Caenorhabditis elegans: one gene and its partners. The protein of the gene in region 3 interacts with the protein of the main gene of each other region in a pairwise test. Each region holds a gene or a part of one and is shown on either strand. Other genes may lie near its edges. The genes, in order: ceh-58, mct-6 and txt-1.

Region 1 (10,753 bases), about 10 Mb from region 3:
TGGTTGCGTTCTTATTTCAGATGCTCACTAATTAATTATCGATCGATAATTGACTATAGGTTTAAGATAATTGTAAAAACTACACATTCAGTTTTACAGTAAAACTCTAATTTCTGAATAAATTAATTGTTGAGGCGTACTAATTTTAATTTTTTAAACACCAATTAATTCAGTTTCACTTAACCCAATTATACGTCTGCTATATTTTCCCATCCAAACATGCAATTTGCAGGCACAATTTATGTCTCTCGTCCCACTCTCTCACAGAAAATTGCATTTTCCATCGATTCATGTGTATGTGTGTGTACGCAGGGCGCGTTAGCCCTAATTATCATAAATTGCCACCCTTCTCTTCGTGCTAAACCGCACCCAATTATCGGGCAGATGGCCTCGTCGCCTCGCTTTTCTCATTCTTTCTTTTTACGTAGTTCCGTGTATTTTGACTGTTTTAAAGTATTCTATTGCTTTGTTACAGTGTGGACTCTAATTAATTCGAAAAATTAGTTTTATAAGGGAAAATTACAACATTTTTTTGAAATTTATTGTTTTACTTAAAAATTTAATTCAACAAAATGTTTGAATACCTTGAACACTAAACACCAATAAAAATATTTTTATATCTTAATTACTTATAAAAATCGCTATAAAAACTCAAAAATAGACGCCGCCAAAAGATTGTTGACCACTAGTGCTATCCTGTACCAGTATAATATTTTGGTAAATATTAAATTTCATCAAAAATAAATTTGAGGAAAATGACAATCACTGATAATGAATGATAATTGAGCGTTGAATAAATATATCAGCAAGTTTTGATTATCACCTGTAAACACACACAATTTTGTCTGGGCGTGCGTTGGTAATTAAACATACTTTGATTATTGCGAAACTAATTATAAATTATATTTTTTCACACTTTTTGGTAATAATTACAAAGTTCAAATATTTTTTAAGAAAAAAAACAGTATTTAAACTTTTAAATAAAGTCTAAAAATATAGCTGCAATAAAAGTGGAGAATCTCTGAAAATTCCTTATATGTAATTGTCTGAGAAGGTTTTGCGGAGCCAATGTTCTCTGCACAGACTAGTTTTTCATGGCGGCATAGATCTACCAAATTCTAATGTACATAATTAATTTTAGCAAACAACTTTTTAATATTTAGTCTCTAAAAATGATCCATTATTCCTCTAAAAAACATTTTTCCAGTTTCCAACAAAAGCAGTCAAACCACCAAAAAACGTCTCAAATTTCAATAGAAACGGGCAGACACCGGGGAAGCATTTCTCGAAATTCTATTATTTTGTTCTTTCCCTCCTTCTCTGTCTTATTCGTTCGTTTGTTTCCAAAACAAAATATGTATTTATACAATATTCTTGTCTACGTCTGTTAACTCTCTCACACCGGGGTTTTCGTCTTTTCAAAAGACATAATTATCGACCAATTTGGAGGGGAAGGGGAATGGAGCGCGTTTCTGCCAATTTCGGTCACACAATTTAGCATAAAGGACATCGATTTTTTAGTTAGCACACATATATTCTAGGAAGATACGATATTACATTTAGGGTTTCGAAAGAAATTACCACTTTTCTATATTCTAAAGATACTAATTAGCAACATTGAAAAGCATTAAAAATAGTGTTTTTTTTCAATTAGTCTTACTCTATGCTCTATTTTGACAGCTCATATCTAAGTTAACTTCGATTTTACAAAAGTATGTTCAACTATTGATATAGGAAAATTTTTGGCACGTATTTTGTTTCTGCAAATTTTTTTTTGATAAAACCAAATGACCGTGAAATTAAGGCAATAGGGGTCGTAAACCTTATAGAAAAAAATTCGGTATATTTTTTAATGATTTTTCCCCAATTAAACCCGTTTTTTTAAACTTGTTCTATTTATCTAGTTAATCTTTTCTATCAGAATGCGCTATTCAAATTATATCAGGCATTTCTTCAGGCATACCTCTTTCCTGCCTGAATTTTTTCTTGAATTCACATGATTGATAGTATAGATTTATGCACTTTTCATGTTCACATTTTAATTAATTTTTTTGAAAGTTCAGCAAAAAATCTTGAGCTGTACTTTGACAGTGAGCAATGCCTCGGCCGTCTCAAAGCAATTTTTTTTATTTCCTAATACTATAATTGCATTGGCTAATTTTTGTTACCATGAATAAACTTTATTTGTAGTCTTATCAGAATCCTGATAATCACATCTAGATTTGATGATTAGTTCTATAATTTTTTCAGCTTGTTTGCTCAGATGCACAACTGGAAAACAGAATGCTGTTGATAATTGCTCAGTGAAGCAACCTTTCGTTATGAGCTAATCATATGATTTCTTGAAAACTCATGCCAAATGAGCAATTTCAGAGAGTTTTAAAACAGTTCTCGCAGTGATTTTTCCATTAGAAACTTATCAAAGAGGTTTGCAAAACATTAAAAAATTCTTTGCAAAAGAAACCATTTACATTTATAATTAATTATGGGAGCCGAGCAAAACAACATTTTTTGCAATTTTTTAAATCCAAAACTTGGAATCTGTATTCCACGAATGTTTCTATATTTGCAAAGTGTGTGAGAATATCAGAAGCTGAACAAAAATTCATGTAAAATCTAGATTCTAAATTATTCTGGTGTATTAAATTGAAAGTATAGCAATTTTTACCAGTTTTTGCTATGTTAGCTATCATATTTGAATGTTGCAACTCACTCCTCCAAAACCCTCTAAATCAAATTCCAAATCCTTATGGACCATTCAATGCCCGTTATTATTCACATTGAATCTTCTAAAACTTTCCCACAAGCACGACCAGCACCACCCCATTCAAAGCTGCTCCTTCATCAGCATCCATCCGAAAGCGTCCATCAATGTCTTCAGGCATTCCATCTAAATTCATTCACATTCAAAAGCAGTAGGATAGATGTGCGAGAGAGACGAGAAATCCTCCGATTTTCTTCAAATAAACATAGAGAGTGAACGACGACTAAAGGACCCTTTTCTCCTTTCTCTCGTCGTCTGATCCTCTCGTATCTCTCGTCTACCACCACTTAACCACCAACCAACCACATCTTTCTAAACACACAGCGGCAATTAACTAATCGCTGAGAACTTTTGGTAGGGTTTCGTAGTATGTTGTAGAGAAACTGTGAAGGCACTTTTTTTTGGAAAAACTTTAGTGATATTTGATTTTTTTTTGCCCAAATTTCAGATTTTTTTAAAAATAAATTACTGCAAGACTATAGTCTAATCAATGTCTAGCTAATTGTTCAAGAAGACAAGTTCTACAAGTTATCCATTTTTGCCGTATCATCTATTATTATCCTGGTAAAACCTAAGTTTGAATCTTTTGTAGTGATCGTGCCGCAAGTTATTCTAGGCCTGTGATTACCTATCGAGTTATGCATTTTCATTAAAAAATACCATTCATTGAACACTTAAAGTGCTAAAATGTCTAAATATCGTAGTAAAACCTTTTCAAAACTCCAAAATTAATTTTGGAAGTCGGCCAACTTCTAAAATTAATTTTGGAAGTCGGTCAACTTCTAAAATTAATTTTGGAAGTTGGTCATAATTATTTTCCAACATTAATTTTATTGTAATTGCATTTCAACTGTTTGTATTCAAAAATTCAAGGGGTTCACATTTTTTGGAAAATTTGGTATTTAGACGATATTCCACCCTTAACTTAGTATACTTATCATGGAAATCAAATAAAGGTTTCAGTGCTAGAAAAAATCTATAGCAACATTTTCTAGAAATTCATTTTTGATCTACCCGGTAAACTGAACTTGATCTCCTTTTTCTTTAGAAAATAGCTCTCCAATTATAAACTTTCCTTTTTTGATTTTTCACGAAATCAAGAGACTTTTCACTCCAAATCACATATACTTTTCTCCACCTTCTCCCCCATTTCAATTATCCTCCTCATAATCTTCTCCACAGTCTTCCACTTTTTCTTCCGTTTTTCTTTCCTCTTTCTTGCCTCTTCCTCTCACTGTCTATGACTCCAAAATGTTCAATTGAAAAGAACGAACCTTCTCCAAGCGGGCAAATTGGTGAGAGTGAGGCGTTTGGTTTTATTGGACCTTTTGGTGTATGCCAGAGAGCATTCTTTGTGATTTGAGATTAAAATGTTCTCCAATTGTTGGCACTTCTACTCTCCGTCTCTTTTATAATTCTACGGAGAGGCAAGAGATGAGATAATTAAATCAATTATTCCAACTAATTAAGTGCCTCGGTCTCTCCCCATGTCCTTCCATCCACGTATTGATTGGTTGAACAGAAATTTCTTAGCTTTTCTTTCTTTCAGCCTAATTTTTCTTATTTGATTGAAACGTCCTCTTCTGTAATTTCGAAACGTTCTAATTTTTAAATTGATTTTGTATTGTTTTTAAAAACATATTTTAATTAATTTTTTCAGGATACTACCTCAAAAATGTCCGCCTTTCAAGGCAACATGTTTGTCTTGGTAAACGTTGACCAACATCGAGACCTGATCGGGCCAATAATTAATCAATTGGTGAGCTTTTTAATCAGCCTATAAAAATTTCCAATTTGGAACAAAATATTGAAACTAAACTTAAAATCTATTATAAATTAAAAAATTAGCTGAAAAACGGGTAAATTTATTATTGAACCCAGAGAGTAAATATTTTAAAAAGTGTAATTTTAGAAGCAATTTTTTTAATGTTTGAAGTTATAAACCCAATACATTTTGATGTAATAATTACCTTCAGGTAGCCGACTACGGGACTCCCGTCTCAATTGTGGATAATATTCAAAAAATCTGTCCGAAATGCTCGTGTACCCCACATGCCAATCCGGACAGCTCATCAGTTCCAACTACAACAAGTTCCGATGAGCATCAAGAAGAACCCCCGACTCCAAAAACGATAGCACCTGCTCCAATTGCGACTCCAGTTCTAAAGCCACTTCTTCCACAACGAGAGTCTATTGTCTCAAATGGAATTCATCCGGTGGTTGTGAAACGAAAACAATCGATCGCAGAAGAAATTGACACGCCGGAGATCAAAAAGAGCCGAGTTGTGGAGCCAGTGAAAGTGAAAACTGAAACGATTATACTTGATGATGACGATGGGAATGTGTTGGACACGGTTCTAGCTGCATTACAAAATGGGTTCGTTTTTTGGATATTGTTCAGTGAAAAAATCATGAAGCTTTCATGGTAAAAATTTGCAAAATGTTATCAAAATACAGTATTTTTCCTAGTAGTAGACATGAAAGACTACTTTAAAAAATGTTGAATGCAATTTCGAAACCAAGCGTTTTGGACGTCCGCTGGAAAATATGGATACAAAAACTAATGTTTCTTTTTCAGAAACCATGAAATGCAGTTTACTGGATCAGGAGGAAGTAGTGATGATGGAGCATCCAATTCTAGCAATATTTATGATGTCGATGATGAGGATTATGTACGTTTTATCGTATATTAATTACTGAAATCTTATATATTTTGGGTTTAACCTAGACCTCGTGTAATTTTTTAAAAAATTGTAATTATTTTCCAGGGAACTTCTCAATGGAATCCAGATTTTTTAACCAACTTCATCACTTCTCAACCGAATATTTTCAGCGTAACTGGTCAGAATATAGTGAGTTATTGTTCGATAGATAACTATTTAAAAAATAGAACATTTCTAATTGTTCTTAAAATTTCAGAAATCCTCCCCTTCAAAAAACGCAGGCCAAACGCCGAATGGCAAGCGCCAAGTTCCGCCAATGTGTAAGTCTTCGTAAATTTAATAGGCTTTCATTTAAAAATCTATAACTTCAGTAACCGTAAACGGAAAAACGAGGCGTGGACGAATTGTGTACTCGACGCAGGAGTTGAATATACTCGAAAAATATTATGAGGAGGACCCGAATGCGTGTGCGGATCCTAGGAAACGTGAGACAATGTGCAAGACTTTATCGATTGATTATCATAGAGTACGTCCCAAAAAAATTATTTCTAGTCAAACTTCTAAAATGTTCTGCTTTCCAGCTTAAAGTATGGTTCCAAAATCGACGACGAAAGGACAAGGTTCGATCGCAAGAAGAAGCTGCCACAACCTTTAATGGATTAGATTATTCCGAAGATTCTTAAAATGTGATTTATTTTGTGTGTTTTTATGAATGTAAGCATTAATATTATTATTCACAAACCCTCTCTTTAATTTCAAGATTCTCATCCCATCTCAACTCTCCCCCCACAAATTGTTCATTCTTGCTCATGTTCCCAAGTTTATCGTTTTAATAAAATATGTTTCAACATAAAGTTAGGGAAAAAATTTACAAGCTGTTTTAAGCTGTGCATATTCATGATAATTCCAGAAGTAATGAATTTTTGGGTTCCAAATCGTTCTGAAGGAACTTATTGCAAAACTATCAAACATTATTTCAAAAATTGCGACCATTGAATTTTGCGACCGCCTGAAATAGTTTTTTGAAAAGATCTCCTATTGTTAAGCTTTTTTGATTATGACAACATATCAATATATGTTTTTATTAATTAAGCTTTCTCGCGCTTTTTCATAACCACTAATGAATCTTACTTATAAGATCACATTTCATCAAATCATGGGAATCTCAGGTTTGTTATTTTCATTTCACCGTGTATCTAACAATTAGAGCAACGCATCATACTTGCGTTGATGCTTCCATGGCAACGAAAGCAGATGGGTGAGATTACTCGCAAAATTTTAGGCCAGTTTTTGTGCGTTTTCATTTTGAAACTATTGTTATCCGTGGTTTTGTCGGACTGGGATTGAAGGATCAGTGACTAAATTATTGGAAACGGTGAGTGTTTTGCATTGATTGTATTTGAAATAAGTGAGATGTGACGTAATTAGAACTATAAACTGGCATTTTCCAATAATGACGCATTGATTTCGATAACTAATTCACTTTTAATTGAACAAATTTAATTCACAATTTTCTGATTATTCTTATTTGCCAGTTTTTCGAACAATGTTATTTCAGTCTCTTTAGTTCATCTGTCAACAGAAGGATTACACAATCGTCCTTGTCTAAAAAAAAAGATTTTTATAAAAAATTTCAGAAAATTTTTTAGCTTCAGTTGGTTGACCAATTTTTAGGTGTTTTGTTCTTAATTTTTGAGAATACTAAATTTGCAGCTCTCTCTCTCTCTCTCTTTTAATATTCTCTATTCTACAAACGTCATATCCTTGTGGCTACAACATTTTCCTTCAACAAACTTCTGCTTGCGATCACGAGTAGATCCCCGCACATACAATTTTCTTCTCATGACCACAAGAAACATGGGAATATTTGGAAAAATAAAGTTCTGCCAGTTCTCCTGATTTCATGCGTTGCGGTCATGTCATGTGTGGGATAATACCATACAGAAGAATGCATCCGGTTATAATTGTTTGCACATTGAGAACTTGCAAATTTTTTGCTGAACATTCTTAACTTTCTGCAGTACATGGCCAATTTCCTGCAAAACATTGCCAATCCTTTATCACCTACTCGAGATTAAAAAAACCCTTCCTGTCAAACTTTGACTAATTACTCTTGAAATTAGTTTTTTTCCAACATTTTGACTTTGGGGACTTGTTTCAAATTTTAAGCGCTTTCAGAATTTAATTACAACATTTTTCTAGGTGCCAGAAGCTTCCAGTTCAATCGAAAAAACTGACCATAACGCATATATAACGTTTTTTTATTGGAAGATTTTTTTAGTTTTCATATTTTAAAAATTAATATCTGAATTAAAATGAAGTTTTTTGAAAAAGTTTTCTCGGGGATTTGTTTCAAATTTTAAGCGCTCTCAGAATTTAATTACAAAATTTTTCTAGGTGTCAGAAGCTTCCAGTTCAATCGAAAAAACTGACCATCAAGCATATATATGATCTTTTTTTATTGGAAGATTTTTTTTAGTTTTCATAATTTTAAAAATTAATATCTGAATTAAAATGAAGTTTTTTGAAAAAGTTTCTTCGAGGGTTTGTTTCAAATTTTAAGCGCTTTGAGAATTTAATTACAAAATTTTTCTAGGTGTCAGAAGCTTCCAGTTCAATCAAAAAAACTGACCATCAAGTATATATATGATCTTTGATAATGATTTCTCTCGTTACCCAATAAATATGATTTTTCAGAGTATCATGAATCCGAGAGGATTCCGAAATTCATTCATATTCTTTAAAGTCTCTAATCAGAAATATCGACAAATCTATTAATCTGGCTGAAAGCATTTTTTAAAAAGTTTCTTCGAACACATTTAGAACTGAAAACTACAAACTAAAACTAAACGATAAGATGTCGTAATCCATTTTTTACAATTCAGTGACAACGTCAAGGCAAACGCACTACAACTTTTGATTGAATATATCCAAGAAAAATACTCGAACACGCTTAACCAGAAAAAAATGGATACACTTGAAGAGTATGCGCTTAGACAAGAGAGGTGGGTCTGAAATATTTCAATATATATATATATATATCATTTGTCTAAATTTCAGGCTGCACAGAATCCAGCTACAATCTGAAGAGTATCCTGGTAACTTAAAAAATGGTTTTGAATATTAATCAATGATCTAAAATATTTATTTCAGGAAGTTTGATCCAACAAGCCATATCGAGACTTCAGATGGGTGAAGAATTACCAGAGGAGGTATTTAGTTTTACTCATTAAATATAATACACAAAATTAATATCAGATTTTCTCAATCGGGGAGTCATTGAGTGTCTCCAATTACGGACAAGCAACAGGAAAAATGGTCCCATGTAAAGGAGACGCTATAAGTTTTCATTTTGGTGATTCGGGAAAAGTAGTTTCAATTTCTGTTTCATCTTCATTACCACCAGATGCCAAATCGATACCTTGCATGACTTTGGATGACATAAGGAATCAGGTGTCTCCTGGACAGGCCCAATTTTTAGGTGTGAAACATCCCGGTATAAACCCATTGGGTGCTCAAAGAGCCACAAATAGCAAAAAGTCCTCATTTGCTAGTGTACTCGAAAATTCGAGAAACACGTTGAAATCGAATCACAAACTTCAACACCTTCCTCGTTCTTCTGATCACAGAGACGATGTGGTGCAAATTTCGAGGATAGCAGCCTTGCCATCTGCACAAAAAGAACTCACAACTCGGAATATGAAAAGAAATTCCGATGAAATTGCAGAGGCTGAGCATACAAGAAATTTCAATGATCCGTTGGAACCATTCCCAATTATTCATCGAAAAAACATTCGATTGACAGATGATCAAGTTAGAGAAGGTTTGAGGAAATATATTGTGGGAGTTTTAAATAATTTTAATGTACATATATTTTTTAGAATACTTCAATCGTCAAAGAATGTATCCTCATGAGAAAAACGTTAAGAGTAAAGAAGCCGAAAATAATTATTCTTCAGAGTATGTTTTGATTTCGGTGGTTTATCAAAGTATTAGAAGCAATTATTATTCAGTTAAAAATTTTGTTTAAAACTTTTTTCGACAGTAAACAAATTTGAGTTCCCGCGGACATCCATTAATGCGGTAATTCAAATTCGGCCCCTCTATTTTATTTATTTTTAAACTACATAAATATCATAAAACGAAATCAACTTCCAAAACCAAAGCTGCCTCGTTTTCCTTAAAAATTCAGTTCCAAAACCCTCACTTTTCTTTTACAGGGCCGATTCTGAAGATTCTCCAGAAGTGGTTCCAGTTCAGCAACAAAAACGACGACCCCGGCAGAATTTTTCCAATACAATCTCGGTAGGGATTATTAAAATATAAACGTAAAAAGTTAGGTAAAAGCTTTAAAATATATTAGGTGAATTGTCGTATTATGATTTCTTTATCGTAGATTCAGAAAAAAAAGTCAATTTACATGTTTTTTTTTTTTAAATCAGTTCTTAAAAAAGTGGTGTTTTTTTTTAGATTGGAGTGTAATTTTTCCTTTGCGAAACAGCGTTAAAATTTTAGAAAAAAAAACAAGATTTTGAATCGGTGGTCCTCAGTTTTAATGAATAATTTAAGAACGAGCTGAGGATTGTACAAGAGCGATTCCACGGGAGTGTTCCGAAAAAAGACGCTGAGGAGGTTGCTGAATCAATGAATCTCGACAAGACAAGGGTAAGTTATTTTTGTTTGAGATGACTGTAAGATTAAAAAAAAACAAATTTTTAGCATTACAGATATAATAATCTAATTTTTCAGGTGAACAACTGGTTCAAAAATAATCGGAAGAAGTACATCCGAGACAAAAATGTGAGTTTGGAGTTTTTCGGAATATAAAACTTGGTTAAGAGCAAAGAATTTTATTATCTTTTTTCCAGAAACGCTTACAACTGCACTGAAGAGCCGAAGTAGAAGATCTACAATTGATTATTTCGACGACTGGTGTTCATTTCTTATATATGTGCTCACCTCGATTTATTTACATATATTAAATACATACCTCAATTTAATAGCCAAAAAAGATAACTATCTCAAAATTTAAAAATTTTATAAAAAATTCGGTACTTATGGGTTTCGTCCCCAAAATGTTTTAATTTTCTAAAATTTCATTTTTCACCTTTCAAATTAAATTCTTATCAAGAAATTGTAGCTATAGCACAGTTCAGAACACATTATCACACTTTCAAAAAAAAATTCTAAAACCTACAAAATTTATTCAAAATTTCAAAATGTTCTCAAATACCGCTACTTTAGTTCACATCGAAGTGCCGTCCGACGAAAACGTCATAAAGAATGGAGATGATAGCAAAATTGTAGACGTACCAACAATGTTGCT
Region 2 (12,078 bases), on a different chromosome or scaffold from region 3:
ATTTCAGCTTGAAATTTCAGAAGGCATGATTTGAGCTTAAAAATTTTAGGTCCTACAGAAACCTCACCTCATTTCCGCTTGCAATCTAAAAACCATTCCAATCATCTCTGTTCTTTTTTATCTGTGACGGTCTCTCACCCTGCAAAAAGATATCAAAAATGATCCGCATTGGAATGTTGATTTACAATTATCACCTTTTTTTTCTTCACTTTTCTTGCCATTTTTCTCGGTTCGCTTTGTGTACCGTCCCTGAAGGACATTAATTCATATCATCGAAATCTGCGTTTCAATCAGTAGCCAGAATTCATATTACTTGCGCGCCAGTTAATGATTTTGACACCTTTTTGAAATCAATTTTCTTTTCGAAATATTTTCAAACGTTTCACACTGAAATAGTCGTAGTATTTTCCCACATTTGCCAGAAAGCTTTAAAGGTGCCGCCGTAAAAAGTTACCTTTTTCGGTAACGTTACCCAAACAGAAAAAAAAAACAGATATTTTTATGTAATTTCGGTACAATTTTTTTTCCTTTTCTGAATAAAACGGCATGTGACGCTTGTTCACATATAAGGAATCAAATAACAGAAATTGGAGATACCCAAAAAACACTGAAAGATAGATGTTTGAATATTACTTTGAGCTTTATACACATTTTGTTATATTCAGTGACCTTGTGTTGATTATAATGTTTGAAAATATTTTCAAGTAGAAACATTAAACAAATGATGTTTTTCAGCGTTCAAAATGACAAAAAAAATTAAAACCTAAAAAGTAAAAATCGTCATCAAAAATATAAATAAATATTCTCAGTCTAAAAGTTAATTTAAAATGAAATTCTTCATGTAGAAATTTTTAATACAACCTACTTTTGTCAGGTATATCAACAAAAAACCAATTTCCCCAAAATTTCCCACATTTCCTTTTACATTAACGGCCTAGATTAAAAATTTGGGCGACAGCAAGTACCCGGAGCACTCTACTGATAATTTTTTATTGCTCCAAACTATTCTCAATGTCTATCAAAAAAAAATCAATTGATAGATAATTCATCATGATTTACAGCTTTTTTTGTTAATTGTGAAACTGGGCGATGATATTGACCACTTTTCAAAAAAAAAAGACCGTGTTTTTAGAGTCATGTGTTATTGTGAATCGCTTATAAACAAATTTTACGTTTATTTTCAGAATGAATGCTAGAAAAGCTAGAAAATTCGTGAATTTTTCCATTGTTTTTTTTTTAGAATATCAATTAATTGACAAATATACGCTTGCATAAATTGACAACACATTTTTCTCACATTGCAATTTTCATAGTCTTTATTTATTTACAAGGCTTGTTACATTTATTTTCGAAAAATACTAGAATTTTAAAATAGAAATAGAAAAATAGAAAATGACCAAAATTTACGTTGTAGTGCGGATTTGGCTATTGCCGGAAATTGCCGAAAACCGGAAATGAGAATTGCAAAAAGTAAAAGTTTGTTAGATTTCTAAAAACTTAAAATTGTACGTTTTTTTGGGAAAATATCCCCGTTTCAAGCCTAAAGGGTCTATACTTTTCACAGTCTCAGTCGCCAATTTCTGGTAATTTTTGATTGCACCCATGATCTACACCAATTAGTAAAATTTTAAACAGGTGCCTCTTCGCTCCACCCATTGCTATTTTGATCTTTCAGAAATTTACTCTTATTTCACAACTCACAGCCACCTGTTACTGTCTAGCCAACACCATATGGGACCCTGTCTGGAAATTCTATGTGTAGAAAGCTAAAGTGCATTTGTCACATTACATCACATTTCGATTTATTTTTACCAGTTTTTTAAAAAACATTTTTGAAAGCTGGAAAATGTGAGAACTTTGGCACAAATCCAAGAATTGTCGGCAAACTTCAAAGGTTTCATTTTCCCAGACAATTTTGTTCGAACTCTGGGGCGACCTCGTTTATTAAATATTCTTTTCAGCCAAGTTTTCATTAGATGAGAGAAAAGTTTAAACAAACAGAGATCTGTGGAATCCTAAAAGTATATGACCGCGGGTAATTGGACACGAAAGGGTCAGAGCACATTAGCTTGAGTCATAATCGTAAATAGTTGATGAGCAGCCTGATGCCTTCTTTTTGTTGCTTTTCTGATTGACCTCTGCCCAGTGTAACATTATAAACAAACTGTTGTTCCTCTCATCCATGTTCCATTTCTCCTCAAGAAAGTATGTGTGTGTGTGTGTGTGTGTGTGTGTGTGTGTGTTTACGAGTAATGCGTTTTTACGTGACAAACACGAAAAATTCTGGAGAAAAACACACACACATACCAAAAAGAGGAAAAAATCTGGAGAAGGATAAGAGTGGGCAGGGTTTCAAGTACCACTAACACCATGTTTGGGTGTTTTTTAGTTCTTGGTTTTCTCTGAAACATTTTAACTTTTTCTTTATTCTCGAATGTTCCAATGTTTGTTTACTTGTTTTGTGAATCTTTTAAAATGCGAGCAAAGAATTTTTTTCAATATCAAAAAGTGCTCTCTATGTGGGCGGTTTTGAGCGCATCCTTTTAAAATTTTAGACAACATTTTGAAAATTGATTTTTATAATTGGAAACATTGTTCACACAAAAAAAAAGCCATCATGTTACATCATTTTGACAAAGGTTTCAAGCTTGAGGATAAGCTCCGCCCACAAGGTTTGATATAAATAAGGGCTTCTATAAAGTTGACTTCATTTGCAGTGAATGCGTTGCTGGCAGTTTTCCTATAATGAGATATGGTTTTCTTTTGATTTCTGTATAATAAGGGGCTCAACTTGAACGGTATGATTTGCGAAAGCTCATTTCTTCAAAGCATTTGGAATTATAAAAATTTGTTCAACTATTCATACTGTTGCAAATGTTTTGGTAAAATCCAAAACAGTCTAGATATCAGTCAAAACAGTCTAGTCTAGAGACTTCTGAGCAATGAGGTGAAGCATATACTATAACCGTATGTTAGGCTAAATTCGAACTGCTTTTTTGTTGCTAATAAAATTTCAACTAGCAGAATCGAGAGTTACATTACAAAACTAGGATCTAGAATCTCCCGATTAACCTACCCTGGCGCGTATTTCACCAGTTAAATTATGTTTTGTCAAAACTTAACAAAACCTACAATAAGTTGACCAAGTAGAGAAAAACACACAGAGTATCAATTTTTTGTAACACACATTAATACTTGAGCTTTAGAATCTACTGATCTTGATAAACTACTGAGAAATCTGTCTCTTCTAAACTTCTGGTATATTAGAACTTTTACACTTTGCACTTTCAATCAACCCAACCATACCTTCTTCACTTCAGGCTTCAGGGCTTCAGTGTTCAAACCCTCTCTGGAAGCCCTGTCCTTCATCCGTTCCTGACAGATGTTCGTGAAGTACACATGCCATTGTCTACCCACAATCACCATTTTTTTCCCCACACTACCCGCGTCTCGCTCTATCTCACCTCGCTCCGCCCTCTTCGTCATCTCCCCACACTTGTTCATTGTCGACCCTAACACACACTTCTTACAGTCGGCCGGTCACCCTTCACCCTACGGACGGGGTGTCCTTTCTCTGGCACACTCTGGTGTTTACGCGCACTCTTGCCGTTCACCCTAGCTTACTGCGTCTGAGAGTGCCCTTCTTGTTTCCCGCGTTTTTTGACCTATTCAAATCCATCAATTGTATCAATTGCGGTGCGATTTCGAGCCTATATCTAAACCAACACAGCTAACCAAACTGTGGATTTTATATAGGCCGATACTGTAGATGTTAGTTAGGCAAATATACAAGTGCGTAGTCCTAGCATGAGATTTGTATCTATCTAAAAAAAAATACCGAGACCTTTTTCTCCCGGCAACTATTTATTTGATACTATCGAGAAATGTGTGAACATGATTAATGAGAGCGCGCAGTCCTACTTCTTTGATCTTTCTCTTATTCTGTTTCTCTCTGATGTATTACTTTATTTTGCATCTTTTTATTTTTCACCCGGATTGCTGAACATTTTTAGATTCGAGTTTTCTTTTGAGGCTCACTAACTTTTTTTTTTTGCTTGTGCAACTTGATATGACTTTCTCAGAAACTTTCTTGATACTTTTTGAAAATGTTCTATAATCAAAAAAATTTTTCAGAAAATGACAGGTGCACCAGTGTCGTCTGGCGGGGGAAAGTTGGTGCCATTGCCTCCAGATGGTGGATGGGGATGGGTCGTCGTGCTCGGCTCATTCTTTGTGCACGTCTTCGCTGATGGATTCGTATACTCGTTTGGAGTGCTCGTCGAAACTCTTATGGAGGTGAGCTTCTTCTCAGATATCCTAGACCCTAGCCACTGCCCCATTGTCAATAACACCGCTGTCACATGTGTAGGCTCTTTGGCTCTTTGGACCCTCGATCAGCCATTCGTGCAATGTTTCACGTGAATCTAATCAACTGGCCCATAAGCCGGCGGGCACTAAATGTAATGTTATATCGTTGATCCAGTTGAACATCTCACGTAGCCAAAAATCATGTACTAAAAAACTAAACTAAAATAATCTTTCACAGGAGTTTCACGCAAGCAACACAATGGCAGCACTCATCATCTCACTGCTCACCGGACTCACCCTCGGAAGTGGACCGCTCGCTTCTGCCGTGTGTAACAAGTATGGATGTCGTATCACCACAATCACCGGAGCAGGAGTTGCGTTCGTCGGGTAATTGGCAATGATCCGAAGCCTCTAGGAACGTTGGTTTCTTTTCAGATGCGCCCTTTCGTACTTTGCAACTGCCATGTGGCACATTGTGATCACCGTTGGTGTCATCATGGGTACCGGCTTTGGATTGATGTATTGCCCGGCTATTGTGATCGTCACTATGTACTTCGAGAAGTGAGTTGAGAGTAAATGACGCCAATAAGTGCATGAATTGATTTTCATATTGGTGGTAGTTTTATCTTGATTTCTGATTTTAAAACTATTATTAGGACACTACGATCGCAAACGCTAATTTGCGATCAACCGGGAGACCTCACTCAGATTCATATTTCCAATAGTTGTTTTTGTCCTCCAAAACATTGGAAATCAAAGAATAACAATTTTTTAAAATAGTTAATTTTAAAATTTCAGCAAGCGCTCCCTTGCCACTGGAATTGCAGTCGCCGGTGCTGGAGTTGGAACTGTCCTTTTCGCCCCGATCAACGCTTTCTTCATCAACAACTACGGATGGCGCAGTGTTTTCCTGGCATTCTTGTTTATTTTGGTTCTATGTGCTCTGTGTGGAGCCACTTTTGCTCCATTGGAGTTTGCATTGGTGCCAGACGAGGAAGAAGAAGTGAATGATGAGGTATTGGACGAGGATGTAAAGAAAACTGCTGCTAATGAGGAACACGGAGAAAAGGCAACACTCTTGAGTCCGCCATCTTTGCTCGAGAGATCAATGTCTCAGAGTTCTGGAGTTCAAAAAGCTGGTGAAAAGATCCGGCCAGCTAGCTCCATGGGAGCTGTTGATGTTGAGTCTCAGCCAAGATCTCGTCGCGGAACAGTTGGAGAGCGTGACAGTGGATACCTCAACCGTAAAGACGTCTTCTACACCGGATCAATCTCCAATGTCGCCGAGTTCCGTGAGGATCCAGACAAGTATCGCTCGACCGGTTCTCTTCATGGACGCCACACCACTGTCGGAAGTATTCCAGCTCACTCCACCGGAAGACTGGATGATGTTCGTGAGGGAAGTGAAGAAGACAGCAAAGCCATGGATATCAGTGAGAAGACCAACGGAACTGACAACACTGACAACGTCGAGGGAAAGAACATGTTCAAAACCATCAGCAACATGCTCTCTTTGGAGCTCCTATTGGAACCAACTTTCTTGCTCTTTGCGATTTCAAACCTTCTCACATCTGTTGGATTCAACTCCCCACTGTACTTCCTCCCACTTCACGCTACCAAAATTGGACTCGAGCCTATCCAAGGATCAAAGGTTCTTTCCGCATTTGGAGTCTCCAACACCGTTGGCCGTATCATCTTCGGAGTTGTTGCCGATCACAAGCTCCCACTTCCAGGAGGCATCGGAAATGATACCGCTCGTAATCGTCTCTGGATGTATAACATTTCTTTGACCGTAAGTGCAAAGACATTCGACAAGAAATTTAATAAACTTTGTTTTACAGATCTGCGGACTTCTCACTGTATTTTGCTACCAATTCAACGGATTCATCCCACTTGCCACCTACTCTGCACTTTTCGGATTCTCTATTGCCTCGTACATCTGCCTCACGTCTGTCATCCTCGTCGACCTTCTTGGACTTGACAAGCTCACCAACGCCTTCGGACTGCTTCTTCTCTGGCAAGGAGTCGGAACAGTGTTCGGACCACCTGTGTCGGGATACTTGGCTGATATGACCGGCAACTATACCCTTTCATTCGTCTTCTGCGGAGTCAATCTCCTGGTGAGTACAAGTTGAAAATAGCCAGCAAGACCAAAATACTTCATTATATTTAAGTTTTCGGTAATTAAATTGAGTATCCATCTAAAATGAGGCTACAAGGTTTGACTAACAAGTTAAAGCATAAATACAGCTCTTGAACTTTTAAAAACGTTTCTCTTTTTCAGGCCTCTGGGCTCATGCTCTTCGGAATCCCATTCTTCCAGAAAAAAGCCAAGGCCAAGGCCCTGGCTATCAAAAAGTAGATGCTCCTGTCCCTGATGATCTGCCATGATTTTCGCTTTCTCTCATTTCTTAACGATATCATTTCTAATTTTCATTTTCATACACCCAATCTCTTCTTATCGAAATTGTGTTTTCAAAGCACTGGGTACTCCTTGTTATTTAGACCATATTCCTTGTTCCAGACATATTTCCTTCAATTTCACTTGTCCTCATCTGGTTTTCTTGTTCACTTTGTCCATTACCTAGGTTTTCCCCTTGTAGTTTGTTGTTAATTCTCTCTCACTGTTTTCCCAAATACCAATAATTTGTAATTCAATAATTTGAATCTGGTTCAAAACTCGTTTCACCCAGTTTTATCTATGTGTGTATTAGTGCCTTTTTTGCTCTTCCAGCAATCTCTCCCAAATTGATGGGCTTAACATTCCGTTTTTGTTTTCCTATCTTTAATATACCTCAACACACTGTCTAAATCGTTAGACTACATTTCCATAATATTGCTGGTTTTGCGCCTTTCTGGCACTTTTCACATCTGTATTATGATACTATGAAGTTGAGTTCTTGAAATGATTTTTCATCTGGAAATTGGGAATTCAGTAAAACGAAACAGTTTTTTTAAACTCAGTTTGAGGATTAATTTTACTATTAATCCTCAAACTGATCTTAAAAACTGAAGTACCACAAAAGCAAAACGAAAAGTTCTTTTTTTCTAAATTCTACCTAAAAGTGTCTGCTTTGTTACCTTCTCTGATTATTTTCAATATAAAAAACGGGGTAATCAATCTAAAGAGATTAGTAACAATTGAAAATTAGCCAAAATGAACCTAATTTTTTTTCAAACTTAATGAATTTAATTTTTTTAAAAGTTTTTTTTTGTGTTATTTTGGTTTTCAGCGACGGGAATCAAAACAAAATGGGTCTCGGCACGATCACCTTCCCAGACTTCATTCTACATGAAATTTACAGTTGAGTGTCTTATTCAATTTATTCACTGAAAGAAATGGTACAATAATTAAAAACAATATAAAGGTAGTACTGGATAGAGGTAGAAGCAATCAGAAAAAATGAAACAAAAATCAGAACAAGGAAAAAGGACACAAAAGGATTCATAAAATAAGAAAATGTATAAAGTGTGAAATGCTGAATCTCGAAATTTTCAGCTGATTCGTAGATAAGAATCATCAATTCAGATTATTTTATTTGACTACATCGCAACAATTATTCTGCTTAGACAAAAATACATGTGCGTTCTGAAAAATTGAAGAAATTAATCTGAAAGTAATGTTTTCGTGGATATCGGGAAATAATCACATGTCATCGTGTTCAATTTCAGTTTTGATTAGCGCCATACGAGAAGAAACCGAAATCCTTCCTTGCTTGGGTGGCCAGACACATCTCCTTCAAGAAATCCATGTGATTGATTTGATGTTGATAATCATTCATCTCAAATGCGATCTTTACTTTCCCAATCTTGCTCTCATGCAATGCTCTTTTTGCTTTGAGAAGTTCAGCACGATCTTTCTCATTGTGCCATTTCTTGAAACACTTCTGCTCTTCATTTGTTGCTACTTTTAGATTTGATTTCAGAGTCTTCAAGGTTTCTTTTTTTGACGCATACGTCTCTATGGTCTTGTCAATGTGATTTATCATTGGCGAGTTCCATGGATACTCTGCGTGTATTATGAAAGTATGCTCCTGTGAGATTAAAGATTTTGTTTTGAGATACATAGTCATCAATGCACCATCCGAACGTCGCAAGTGCACTCCGTCATTGGTTAGAATGTGCATTTTTTCAAGATATCGGAGCTCTCTGAAAATGAATATCGAGGTACTTTTATTTCCGTCAATAATCGTTTTTAACTGCAATTAAATTGTTGTGAACTAATTCGAAAAAACTAGCGGTCAAAATAATCAAATTTAACAACTTTTTTCTCTGCTTATCGACTTTTTTAAATTGTGGGAATTTATGTAACAAATGAATTTTGACTTGAAACTTTTTTGGATAAATCAAATAGTTTAGGCCAGCTGGCGCCTAAGTATTAGACTTGTTGGAAAATTGGTCACTATGGCCGCAGCGTATGTCAGTAACGGTGCCTCACTCACACTCGCCAAATTTTATTTTAGACTTTGTTTCTTGCTAGTCGATTTTGATAAAATGTGATCTACATTCAATTTATAATAATGATAATTTAACTGTAACAATTAGTATTCAAAATAGTGCTTTGCAGCAACTTGCACATTTTTTAGTTTTTTTTTGACAAACCTGAACTTTCGTTGTTGATCGTTTCGTGTAAAGTGTTTGAAGTTTGCCAGCAGGTTCTCAAGATGTCTAATGTCCAGCTTCTTTATATGCACTGTCATAGTTATCAAATTTGACTTGTGAGTTATCATTAAAGCGTTGACAATTTCGTTGATAACATCTACAGAGCATTCATCCATATAATAGGTTGTATCGTAGCCCGCATTTGGTAGTTGGTTATGGTAGGATGCATTGGTCATGATCACGTTAGGGATTTGCCATACCTTAATTTTCATTATCTTTGCAAGCTGTCTTGAAGTGTGCTAAAACGTACCCGCTCCAAGTATACCATGGAACGATGGCTGATATTCACATTAACCGTCAAGCTTTTGAAAATTTTAACACCATTCAAAAGCCGTACGACTTGCTCCGATTGGTACATAGTTGGCTCTTTAGCAAATGCTGGAATTCTCAAACTAACACAGCCAAAGTCATAAAGCATTGCAATCACATATCTCACTGTTTGAGAACTGTCGAAAATGTCCTCGTCGACCACAATGCTTTTGATACCGACATTGAAAAGGTTCTGAAGCTGATCAAATAATGCAAAGAATGGGTTTAACGCTTCGTCTTTTTTGACCCGAAGACTGATTCCATTTTCTGTTGAGCCTCTGAAAATGCGAATTAATTTTAGAAAAAAAAATATTATTGGTGGTGGGTTCGTTGTGATGGTATGTAGCTAGGAATACACCACGAGTTCAAGTTCTTCCTAACCAATCCTAGGGCGGCTTAGGGGGCTAGCCCCTACAGTGGGGCTCAGCACAGCCCCCGACACTTTCGGGGTTCCGCGCGGCACTATACAGAGGGTCATGGTGACAAGTGGCGCGAGGTTGGCGGAACCCCGAAAGTGTCGGGGGCTATCAAACAACCACCTTTCGTAATGCGTTTTTCAATGCGCGCGGGGCTGGGGCTGAGTCATTTGCAGCCCTTTAGCAGCCCTAACCAATACTGAAAAGCAAATGTGGCCAACTAATGAATTATGCATTATACAATAAAAATATGTTTTCTAAAACAACTGAGAAGATAACGTTCAATTGAATTAGTATACATAGTGACCCCCTGATAAAAATATTCTTTATTGTCTAGCTGAAATTTAGAAAACGATCAACTCTCATTTTCCGACGAGCATCAGTGATTTGTGCTTTGAGCAGCTATTTTCTATTGAGCAACCGTCAATTAAGAAATCCCACGCAGTTTCATTTTTTCAAGCTTTCCGTCACGATTACTAAGTTATAAATAGCGTGTGTTGTGTTGAACATCTGATTACACTTACATTTTATACAGGATTTTTACAGAAAAGGAGTAAAAAGAGTTTTCTATATTTTATTCCAGGCGTTTCAGTTGATACATGCAAACCCATTGTCATTAGATATTTCAAATGGGATTATTTATTTTTAGAGAGTTTCCCTACCATTCCCAGAGGTATTTCCCGCGTGGTTCGCCATTAGGTAAACATGGTCCAGTTATACTTGCTTTATCATTTACAGCGAACACAAGAGTTCGCAAATGAATACGTGAAGAAATTTAAAATCCCTTGCCAAATTTAGTGTTCCCAGCCAACTACCATAAAAACGTTACTTGTTTCTCGGCAAAACGTTACAAAATGCCATAACAAAACATACACAATCAAAAACGACTTCTTGGAAATGTGAAAATATTGATTCCACTTTTTCTCCGGATTGTTCTGCTTCACAAAACTCCACGAGAAGCTCTTCTTCGGATTGACACACGTAATCTCAATGTCTGCTTTGTTGGATCCGATCCACATTGACATGGACAATCCTTCACTTTTCAGATATCTTACTCCATACTGCAATTGTGCGCTTAAATCGAGATCTAGCTTGCTGAAGTTGTAGCTGCAATAAAAAGTAGAATCAATCGATTTTTAGTCAAAATAAACTCACATATCACCAGCAGACAGAGAATCGACCTTCTCCTCAAACTCTCTCACAGAGTTCATTTGAATTACAGATGGCATCTCGAACGACTAGCAAGTTGTATATTGAGCAGCTCAAAATGGCGCTATAGTTACAATTACGCGACTCGTATATTGTCTCTTAGCAACTCGTGTTTGCTTCAGCTCCACCACCGATTGTCAGTGAGAGGTGGATTCCATAGGGTATATGAAACAACGTCAAAGATTAACTATTTTCAAAAACAACTCGGGAAGTAAATTAGATGCTCTTCATAGACTTGACTATCGATTTAGACCAAAAAGAGAGAAAGAGAAAAAGAGATGTGAAAATGAAATCGTATTATTCTGATAGTGAGATTTGTAAAACTGAAAGTCAGAACTTGTGATGTTTTGTCTTCGAAGACGAAGGAGCGTTGAAAATAGAATGAGTGGGAGCCAAACGATCAGAAAAGTACGAAAATAATCAGAAGGCTTGTGCAGATGCCCTTATTTCTGCAAGATGTTTGTTCTGGAAATCGGAATCTGCTTGAATAAATTTTTGAAATGCCTGAAAATCGCAGAAAAAATAATAAATATTCGAACGTTCACATAAATTTTGGATGTTTAGGAGGTTTTCTGGTCAAATGGAAAAATGTTTCGAATTGGAAAATTGTGTAAAAGCACACACAAAATTGTTCAATCAAGACGAGTCGAACAGAAAAAAACTATCGGGAATTTGAAACATTTAGAGGTGATGTTTTAATACAAACTTACACGTCTATTCCCCTCATACAATTTTCTAGAAATATGAACTTCACCTACATAAGCGTTTATTTTTAGAAAGCTGAATCAAAATGCCGAACAGCACTGAAACCGAAAAAAAAGACGACAATTCAACGCGGGCTCAGTTCAAAGATTGGCACAGTAAAAAATTGTGTAATTATCATTTTCAAATGAGTACCCACTCGTGGATTATAAAAAACATCTAACAATTTTAGTTGAGCACACCTTTCGAACTTGTTTTGATGAATACGATTCCCTAGGGTGTGCGCTGAATGATACGTGTGCTGATAGAATACATGCTTTTAATCATCTTTGTGAGTAATTGTTGAGAATGATTTAATACGTTTTCATATTGGAAATAAAGTTGAAAATATCACGGAATTTCAGAACGAGTAAGTATGTATCAAGTATAGTTTAGTGTAGTTTATTAATTATTCAAATGATAGATGAAATTG
Region 3 (10,069 bases):
TCCACGCATCGTGAATGCATCAGAAAATGCTGCAGTTGGATGAACCATATTGTATGGAATCATCAATGTCAGGGAAGCTGACATCAGAACATAGGAGAGTGTGACAATTGTCATAGAGGAGAATGTGGCAATTGGAATTGATCTAAAATAAATTACCTAAGATTTCACATACTCAGTTCACATAAATTTTAATCTCACCGTGCAGGATCTTTAGCTTCTTCTCCAGCAGTTGCAAGTCCGTCAAATCCAATGTATGCAAAAAAGCAAGATGCAGCTCCAGCAAACATTCCAGATACTCCATACGGAAAGAATCTCGAATTCCCTTTCTCATCTACTCCACTCCATAGAGAGAAATCAGCAAACGTTATACCATAGAACACGACTATGACAACAATTCCAATATTGAGAATTGTTAGGAAAGAGTTGAAGTTAGTGGACACTTTTGAACCAAGAGCAACAAAAAATGCCACAAGAACGATGAGTAGAAAAGCGAGAAGATCAGGGTAATCGCCGAAAAATGATGAAGCCTGGAATTTCGAATTCAAAATTTTATAAAAACATTTACTGGCTTACTTCATGCAAGTGCCCAGTGCGAGCAATTGTTGAATTTGAAATAACATTTCCCAGTAATGAATCCAAGTATCCAGACCATGATCTAGCGACAGCAGCAGCTCCAAGCATGTGCTCTAGTATAATGTTCCATCCAATAACAAAAGCCCATAGCTCTCCAACTCCAACATAAGTGTATGTGTATGCACTTCCAGCTTTTGGGAACCTAGCTCCAAACTCGGCATAACACAAAGCAGAGAGAAGAGATGCAAAACCTTAAAAAATATTGAAAAATGGAAATAATTTACTGAAGCCGCCGTTTACTTACCTGCTAGCAAAAAAGACAGAATAATTGATGGTCCCGCAGTGTTTCTGACAACCGACCCAGTCAATACATAAATTCCAGCGCCAATCATATGGCCAACTCCAAGAAGAGTAATGTCAAAAGTACTCAGACATCTTCGAAGTGGGGTTGCTATCTCACCAGCCGGCAAGTTTTTCAGACGAAATACACGTTCTCGAAGCGCCGAGAAGCACATTTTTGTTTTTGTTCCTGAACTTTTGGTTTTCTAATTATCTGAAATATCAAAAGTTGCGTTTGAATTGAGGTTGCAAGCGGAGAGTAGGAAACGATCGTAAAAGTTTTGAGTTCAACGCCAAATTTTATGAATTTTATGTAAAAATGGGAATTTTCTGGCAGCTTTTCCTAGAAAAGAAAAATTAAATTAATCGATCAATTATGCAATATTTAGATCAACAAAAAGACAACAAACGCATAGATGGAAAAATAAACGAGAAAAAGAGGAATAGAGCGGGCGCGCGGAACTGGTGGAAGATAAACAAAGACGTTTTTCGGGGGAAAAAATGTATGCTGGACTTCGTGTGTAATGGAATGACAGCACAAATGGTTTGTGGTTGTCAGAAATGCATTGAAGTCTCTGTTGTGATATTTCGTATCAATTTTGACCAGTATTATGAATTCCATAATAAAAGTCAGGCATGTACTTTAAAATTTGATTTTTGGGCTTGGAAATCTATGAACGTAAATGTGCTATATTTGGGTCTGGAAATTTTATTTACTATTGGTATATCAATTCGGAAGTGCATAACGTGATTAGGAGGCGCTATGGAGTATTTTTAGTTACTAATATGGTTGCTAATATAGTTGCATAATTTATAATAATAGCATAACATGCATAATAATATAATATAGTTGCTAATATTCTAATATTCTTTTAAAAGATGGAAGTTGTACTTGGTAAAATTTCAATAACTTTCCCATAAAAGCTCCATCAGTACAGTTACAAGCTCTCTGTTGCCGAACATCTAAAATCTCCTCAGGTTTTTTTATAATTCGTTTTTTTTGCATTGTCAAAAAACTCTTTTTTTTGGAAAATTCAGAATTTAAATTTCAATTGGTAAAATGGTACGCATCACTATGAATGTTCCTACATCTGTTTTGAAAAGTAAGCAAATTCTATGAAAATATCTGAAGAAAACGGGAACAATTTTTTTTAAAGACACAGTTTTACGTGTTTCCGTCTTGTAAAAAATCCCTCTAAAAATTTCCGGCAAATCTGCAAACCGGCAATTTTCCGATTTGCCGAATTTGTCGTCAAAAAAATTTGCCGAACGGCAATTGCCGCGCACCTCTGCATTGAATGCTAACATTCAAAGAGAACGAATAAGGAGAGTAGAAAAAGACGAGCAAAATAAAGAAAAAGAAGATGGTTCAGTTTCCCATCCATCTGCGTCTCTTACGCCCGCTTTAACTTTTTCATCTCTCTATTGCTCTCAGAGCTCCATTAATTGCCGCCTGAGGCTTCAGCCAGGCAAGGCAGAAAAGCCGAGCGCTTTCTCCATATTTAGCTGCATTAATGGATTGGGTGATATTATAAAACACATGAAATTGAAGTGTGTGAAGTTGCTAAAAATATTTTTTTAAAGAATGAGAACTACAAAAATAAGAGCAGAGAAATTTGATTAAATCTCATCAATGCATTTTGTTGTTGGCTGCAGCTTAAGATTTGAATGTTATGGCGCCATTCTTGATTAAATTAAACTAACCACTAAACCAATACACATTTTTTAGGCAACAGAAACAATATGTCGTGGAATTTGGAATTCTAGATGAGAAACGGAAACAGAAAAAGAAAAGCCAGAGAAGTGAAAGTGGGGGGAAGGGGAAAACTTATTTATTTTTGTGACTGGGGATTATTATTTGTTACAAAACATTTATTGCTGGAATGGGGCCAAAGTTCAATTTTAATTCTGTACTTATACTTTTTATTCATTATACAAGTTCAATTGATCTTTGGCTGTGCAGTAGTGCTCGGTTGTTGCGAGAGTTGAATTTCTTGCTGAAAAATAATTTTAAAAAATCAATCATGTTAAATCAGGGGTGGACGGCAAACAATTTTGCCGAAATTGAGATTTTCGGCAAATTGACAAATTGCCAGAATTGAAAATTTCCGGCAAATTTGCCGGAAAAACAGCAATTTTTTTGGAAATTTCAAAATTTCAATTTCAATCGGAATCGGCTACGCTCGGCTACGTTTTACACATCCTAAGAATGTTCCTACATCTATTTTGAAAAGTAAGCAAATTCTATGAGAACATAAAAGAAAAAAGAAAAAAACGTTTCAAAAAGGCACAGTTTTAAGTGTTCCTGCCGAAAATCAGTCAAGTTAAATCAGGGGTGGGCGGCAAACCGGCAAATTGCCGGAATTTAAAATTTCTGGCAAATTGGCAACCGGTCAGTTGCCGGAATTGAAAATTTCAGGCAAATCGGCAATTGTTGCCCACCCCTGTGTTAAATTCACAATCTCACTTCAATCATGGTAACAGCATCTGCAGTCTTTGGGCGCACAATGATAATATCAACTTGTCCTTTATCCTTGAGGCATTGCATCAACCGCTTCTTACAATCAATTTTGTTTAAGACGTTTTTCTTGTTAATCTCGATAATCTGATCTCCGTACTTGAGAACCCCGGCTACTAGAGATTCTGAAATGTCTACCAATTAGAAAAGAGTCTATAAAAGTATTCGCTAACCATTTTCCACTTTGCAGACCAGTATACGTTGATGAACAGATACTATTCCAAGTCCGAACTTCTTGCCCTGAGTCATCATCAGTGTCACCTTGATTCTCTCAAATCGGTGATCCATACTCCCAGAGTTTTGATCGTTTTGATCGTCTTCAGCGAGAGTCTGAAGTAGCCATGTTTATGTGAAGAGCATTAATACTCAGGGGTGCGCGGCAATCGGCAATGTCAAAATGAAAATTTTAATGAAAATTTCGGGCAACTGGCACATTACCGGAAATGGAAATTTCTAGCAGATCGGCAAAAAACCGGCAATGTGCCGACAAAAATTTTGTCGACCGGCAATTGCCACCCACCCCTGTCTACTCACCCTATCATCATCCGTGTCCTCAACTGATTTAAGTTTTGAATTGGGCGGTGCAGATCCTGTAGTGCTCATTTTTTTGAAAATAAGAGAAAGAGTTGAAGGAACCACGTTACTTGTTCTGATTTTTGAAATGATTTTATTGAAAGCTCTTTACGGAAAATGTAGACTTCAGTGACGTGGTGGCGTGATCTATTAAAAAACTGGACGTGGTTTTCTATTTATTTTTTATTAGTTTTTGCTTTTTAAACACTCAAAATTTTGATTTAATTTGTGGAGAACTTTAATAAAGAGTATGTAATTTTATAATGGAGTATGATTGGGTCCGGTAGTAAAATAAAGTTGTCTTTTGAATTAGAAAATTCACCAAACGTGACTGTGTCAAAATTTTTTGATAAAACCAATATTTCTCTAAACCTAGACCCACTGAAACTGATGAAATGACTTTACACATGGAGTACCTGAAACTCAAGTTTGAGATCAAGTACGTGATCATTTTCGTGAATAAATTTTCATTATGATTAAAAAATTGTGATTTATCGAATAAATCTACCGGTTGAACAGAAATAGGGCTATGAAAGACAATACAGTCGGCTTAAAGTTCAGAAAATTAATATCCTGGAGCAGTTCTTGGTGGAGGACAATGATCGCATCCACCACCAGCTCCTGGTTGTCCTGGTGGTCCAGGCTCTCCTGGAGATCCAGGATTTCCTGGAGCTCCATCAATTCCTGGGTCTCCTGGTGGCCCTTGTGGTCCTGGTTGGGAACTTCCTGGAGCTCCTGGCTGTCCTGGTGGGCCGATTGGGCCTGGAGGACCTGGTGGACCAGCTGGCCCTGGAGTACCTGGTACTTCGATAACTTGGCCTGGAACACCTGGAGCCCCGGGGTTACCTGAAACGTTTTTCGTTAGATTTTTTCAAATATGCTAATGTACCTGGTAATCCATCGGCTCCCGGTGGACCTTGAGGTCCAGGGGGACCTGGTGGTCCTGGAAGTGCATTTCCTCCTGGAGTTCCTGGAGCGCCTGGTTCTCCATTTGGTCCTTTAGGTCCTTGCTTTCCAGGTGGTCCCGGTGGTCCTGTTGGGCAGTCGAAACAGAAATCTGCAGCAGTCGGGGATTCGTCTCCTACTGCATCTTGTCCGGGTGTTCCAGGATTTCCTGGAGACCCATCATTTCCAGGATTCCCGTCTGTTCCTGGAGCTCCTGATGGACCAGGTGGGCCAACTCCACAAGAGCAGCATGCTCCTCCACCACCACCACCTCCAACTGGAACTTCTTCATTAAATCCGCCATCGTAGCTAGATGCGCCACGAGCAACTGCCCGACGACGATGAGCAAGACGTCCGGTGACTCCATTTGATTTTTGATATGTCGCGCGTTTGATGCGTCTACGGACGCCCGCAACAGATTCAAACTGAATAAAAGAAAATTCCTTTTGATCCGAAAAAAAACTCTTACTTTATTGTACTCGTCCCACAATCCATTTGTTCTGTGTCGACAGAAATCTACCTTTAAAAAAAAGAAATTATAATAATAACAACACGAATTCAGAATAACAAGTACATACTTCAGATTGCAATGCAGATTGAACGTGTTGCATGTAATTGTAGAGCATGGGGACTGCCATTATTGCAGTTAATGTAGCAACAGTGGATATGGCAATTCCTTAAAAGTTCAGGCATTCATTTTGTTACTATGGAGTAAACTCACCGAAAAACGCCAACTTCCGCATTGCATCAGCTTCCTGTGCTTCATACTTTGGATCATCGTGCGACGATTCAGAAGCCATAGTTCTTCTGGAATCGGGAAAAGTTTCAAGTTTCAAGAGTGGCGAAGAAATTGAGAAATTGACGACGAACAATTCGAAATGAGTGATTTGCGTGCGCGCGCGCGAGAATTCGCTCACTCAAAAGTAACGACTTGAGTTGAGTGACTGGAGTAATAGTCGAGTGAAGCCCGGGAAAGAGTACAAGAGAATGGGGGAATGAGACAAATTATGTGCGAACAGAGAGGCGAATGAGTTAGGCTAGTTTCAAATTTATGACATTAAAGGAAGTATTGAAGTATTGAAGTTCAGATTTTGTTTCAAATACATAGATGCTAGAGTTTTACAGTGAATTCTAAAAATTAATTATAAAAGTTAGAGTAGGTTCAGTGAAGGAATAGTTGAAAACCGCTCATATGCGAATTCACCATGCTGTCAGAGTGTCTTATTTTTCCTTGATCTAGGTCTACAAGAAATGCGGAAGAAGCGGCGCAGAGTTCTCAACTGATTTTGCTTGGTTAAGAACGTTCTGACGTCACATTTTTTTGGGCGAAAAATTCCCGCATTTTTTTTAGATCAAACCGTAATGAGACAGCCTGGAACGACGTGTGAAATATGTAATAGTGTTTCAGTTTGTTGTGAGATTTAACAATTCAACATTACTCTGAATTTTTTGCATAATGTGTTAAAATTTTGTTGAGAAATTCAGAATTAAACAAAGATGTGAGTTAAAAATTTTTCAAAACCTAGACAGTTTTGAAGTAAAAGCTATTTGTTCCTACTGGACTACTATAATTCCTCACTAGCGCTACTCCAAAAACAGTATCACGTGAATACACGAGCAATTAATGATAAATAAACAGATCAGAAAATCAGAAACGTACAATTAAATACAAAATGATTTGAAATATATGTGAAGTGTGTAAAAAAGATTGAATAGTCATCTACAATGGCACACACTTCACGTTTATATAAAGATTCCCATATGGCAAACCGAAAGGGAGGCTAGTGTTCCGCCCACTTTGATAGGCAAACCGTTATTGGGAGGAGGGGGAGGACTAGAATTAGAATATAATGTATAAAGAGAGAGAGAGAGAACATGGTGAAGAAGCAAATTGAGGTGACCATTAAGGAAAGTAGTAATGACTGTGTGTCCCTCCTTCACTCACTGTTCATATGGGAAAATGAGTAGGTGGATGTGAGGAGAGTAGAAGCTAAGAGGGATTTGGTGGATGAGGTGTGACTGACTAGGAGTTTTTGGTTTTTATTAGTTTTAAACTATTTCATGAACTTAACTTAACTAGGATGTAGTTAGTTGTAGTCTGTGTTTTGAAATACATTCGAGTACTATAGTATTATACTCCGCCACTTGTCGTGGTTGATATATTTTAATGTGTCAGTAATAATGCTTCAAAAAGGTATTGAGTTCTCACTGGAACACATGTTTCCAGAAAAATTGATTCTTGCGATATTTGGCACGAATATTCAATACACCGTATTTTTCTTATTAATCTTCGTTTTTCAGTCCTATTAATTTTGTACTCAAAAAGATAAATTGGAGAAATAAAGTTTTCAAGTAATGCAAGAGACATATGGTTTTCAAAATTTCATAAAATAAAAATTGCTCGAAAACTGGGTTCATAGAATTGTAGAAAACATTCTTGAGCTCTCATGAGATTACTTTTGGGTCAGCTTAACATTTGCTACAAAAATATTCCAAACTATTTTGTCAATTTTTTTCTTATTCGAAGTGGATCTAGATTGATAATAACCAACTGTCCTATAACAACTCAAAGATCGCGTTTTGAAAAAGCTGGCATTGAGACGCAAATTCATTTCTCAAGTGTTCGAATTTATTACACAACACAATTTCTAACGATGATTGTGACCGCGTCATCAGACAGACTTTCCGATTGCACTTGACAAAAAAAGAATAAAATATTCTTCCGATGGCGCAACAATACAAATCAATCAATCTTTTATTTTTCAGAAAAAAAGAATGGATGTTGTCTCTCGAACAGCAGAAAACAGACAGAGATGAATGGCTAATTGTTCCAAAAAGGTTTCGGTTCGAAAGTGGATGAAAAGAGACAGAAAGAATGAGGTAAACGACAGTTTTTGTTTTGTGAATAGGTAGGTTAAAAGACTAGTTTTGATATACGAGTGTACTTCCGTAAAATTGGGATCTAAAAATCTGAATTGTTATCATTTATGTTTCGTATGGTTTTCTATATAAATTAACTGATAGTAAGACAATGACTCAAAAAGGGTTTATTGACTGTAACAACTAGTAACAAGGTTTGTGTACAAAAAGAGTCCAACTCTTTTTCCTTTCTCCAAATCACTCTTTTCAAGGCGAGCCTGGGGCGCAATAGTGGCAAGAGCCCGAATTAACGGGACCACCAGTTGCTGGGGAGTTTATAGAAAGGAGAGGCCACTATGAATGTGTTGTAAAGCCAGCAGCAAGCTTTTTTTTCCGATTGTTCCACGGGTCAAACAAAGAATAATGTTACAAGTAATTGCTTTTTGGTATCATTAAAGTTACCGCCACTCAAAGTTTAAAAAATAATTTTTGCAAGCATTTTTAACAACTTAAACGAATATGGCGAGACCAAAAAGCCATGCCTGGCCAGGAGCTGTTAATGCAAATCCAGCTGGAGCTGTTAATGCAAATTTTTATTCAACTATCTGTCTAATATATCAGGGCATATAAACTTTTTAATTTCGCCAAAAAATAAAAAAAATCGAAATACATTTTTAGTGGGATCTAGTTTGTCCGATTTCTTAATTTTTTTTCTCTCAACAATTTCACGTTTCAGTGCAAACGTAATAAATTATTATTATTATTATTATTATAACTGATATCACCAGATGTGAGAGGTTTTCAAAATCGTTTTGGAATCTCTTTGGATAATATAACCTTCAGTGTAAGTTTTTATGGTTTGAAATTTACGCTGATGTGGTCGTTAGCTGAAGAAGAACATAAAGATATGCTCCGATGCAGTGAATTGTGTCAAAATGAGACTGAACGCAGTAAAATGCGGCAAACTGCGGCAATGTCCGGCAAACTGCAGCAGAGTACGACAAAGTGCAGCAGGGTGTGGCGAAGTGCAGCAATGTGCGGCGGAATTTTAGGAAAAAGAGGTTGAAATGGCCTAATGTGCCGTGTAGAGCTGGCAATGAGCCCTGGAAAGCCGGCCCGACTTGCCGAGAAAGGGTGACAAAGTGTGGCGACGGAGAGAGGCGTCGGGCCCGCTAAATTTGGTGTTTCTACAGCCAAAAGGTGAGTGAAAGGTGACAATTTGTTTTTTCATTGAAAAATTAGGAACTTTTTGTCGTAATTTCACATAAGGTGAGGCGAAGGCGGCAAATTGGTGAGAGAAAGGTGAGACGACCCTAAAAGGTGAGAGAAAGACGGCACGAAATGCCGAGCCTATTGAGTGCGTCACAACTAGAACAGACAAACGGACACAGAAATCTGGGTCTCGCAGTTTTTTTTTTCAATTAAAAAAATTTAATTTATTCAAAAAAATTGTTTTAAAAAAAATCAGAGAACGAGATCACGAAAAAACTTGATAAATCCGCTTTTCTCTTTAAAAAATTCCACCAAAAACTGTTTCTCGAAGAAAATTTCGAAGTTGATGCAACTATCCAGATGTTCCAAGTGAAAACATTTTCCTGTGAGAATGGTGTCGTCTCCGTAGAATTTGTTGGATTTCCTTTCATAAAGTGATTGTACATCTTTTAGAAGAAACAAAAAAAATAGAGAGCACATGTGAGATCGGATGGCTCCACAGGAAATTGTGAATTACTGGGAGGGGGTCAAATTAGCAATTCTACACGTTTGTCGAGAGGAGGGTGAAGGTCTAAATCTAGCAAAAAAAAAACCAGAAAAAAGTGACCAGATTAAAAATCGATATTGAAAGGGGGCTCAAAAGGGAGAAAAAACGTCAAATTTTAAGAGAAACAAAAAAATAGAGAGCACATGTGAGATCCATCAGTACGAGAAACCTTCCTTAGCATCGTTCATCATTCTCTCCATCCTGAAAAACCTTTGTATATTTAGGGAAAAACTGGCAATTTTTACTTTTTTTTGGTTTCCGACTCAGTTCTCTTTCTGGACTTGGTTTTTGCTTCTTCTCTTGACAAGTCGTGACAATTCACAGCATGAGCAACAGCTCCATCCTTGTCACAATAATCCGAACTTCAGATTGTGCAGCGAAAGGGTTTCTTCACGACGTGTGCATTGAAAATGTGATGATCCCTGGAAAAACAACTATGGCTTTACTTATTTTAATTTATTTACTCACATCTGGCACCATTTGATCATTTTGTGGCATTGCGG

The links.
Region 1: the proteins of txt-1 (region 3) and ceh-58 interact in a two-hybrid assay, tested with the Caenorhabditis elegans proteins (one large-scale study listed by BioGRID).
Region 2: the proteins of txt-1 (region 3) and mct-6 interact in a two-hybrid assay, tested with the Caenorhabditis elegans proteins (one large-scale study listed by BioGRID).

The regions. Positions count from the first base shown.
Region 1 is NC_003280.10:10,363,269-10,374,021, reverse strand, and holds ceh-58 (Homeobox domain-containing protein), read left to right. Parts: upstream 1-4,424; 5' UTR 4,425-4,439; coding exon 4,440-4,523; intron 4,524-4,740; coding exon 4,741-5,141; intron 5,142-5,342; coding exon 5,343-5,436; intron 5,437-5,532; coding exon 5,533-5,616; intron 5,617-5,683; coding exon 5,684-5,747; intron 5,748-5,798; coding exon 5,799-5,953; intron 5,954-6,008; coding exon 6,009-6,110; 3' UTR 6,111-6,274; downstream 6,275-10,753. Other genes in the region: ceh-57 (Homeobox domain-containing protein), read left to right, coding at 8,395-8,432, 8,488-8,525, 8,581-8,639, 8,686-9,250, 9,309-9,387, 9,648-9,732, 9,997-10,092, 10,177-10,227 and 1 more.
Region 2 is NC_003284.9:16,762,555-16,774,632, reverse strand, and holds mct-6 (Major facilitator superfamily (MFS) profile domain-containing protein), read left to right. Parts: upstream 1-4,134; 5' UTR 4,135-4,137; coding exon 4,138-4,296; intron 4,297-4,330; exon of another isoform or gene 4,331-4,475; intron 4,476-4,546; coding exon 4,547-4,695; intron 4,696-4,743; coding exon 4,744-4,869; intron 4,870-5,106; coding exon 5,107-6,100; intron 6,101-6,149; coding exon 6,150-6,428; intron 6,429-6,592; coding exon 6,593-6,670; 3' UTR 6,671-7,217; downstream 7,218-12,078. Other genes in the region: C10E2.1 (FBA_2 domain-containing protein), read right to left, coding at 7,977-8,457, 8,911-9,170, 9,221-9,557, 10,569-10,802, 10,851-10,924.
Region 3 is NC_003280.10:100,222-110,290, reverse strand, and holds txt-1 (PDZ domain-containing protein), read right to left. Parts: upstream 4,103-10,069; 5' UTR 4,034-4,102; coding exon 3,965-4,033; intron 3,761-3,964; coding exon 3,604-3,760; intron 3,556-3,603; coding exon 3,380-3,555; intron 2,910-3,379; coding exon 2,853-2,909; 3' UTR 2,806-2,852; downstream 1-2,805. Other genes in the region: C50D2.2 (Cationic amino acid transporter C-terminal domain-containing protein), read right to left, coding at 1-142, 199-527, 574-824, 878-1,088; col-68 (Nematode cuticle collagen N-terminal domain-containing protein), read right to left, coding at 4,569-4,849, 4,893-5,373, 5,418-5,468, 5,527-5,624, 5,670-5,748.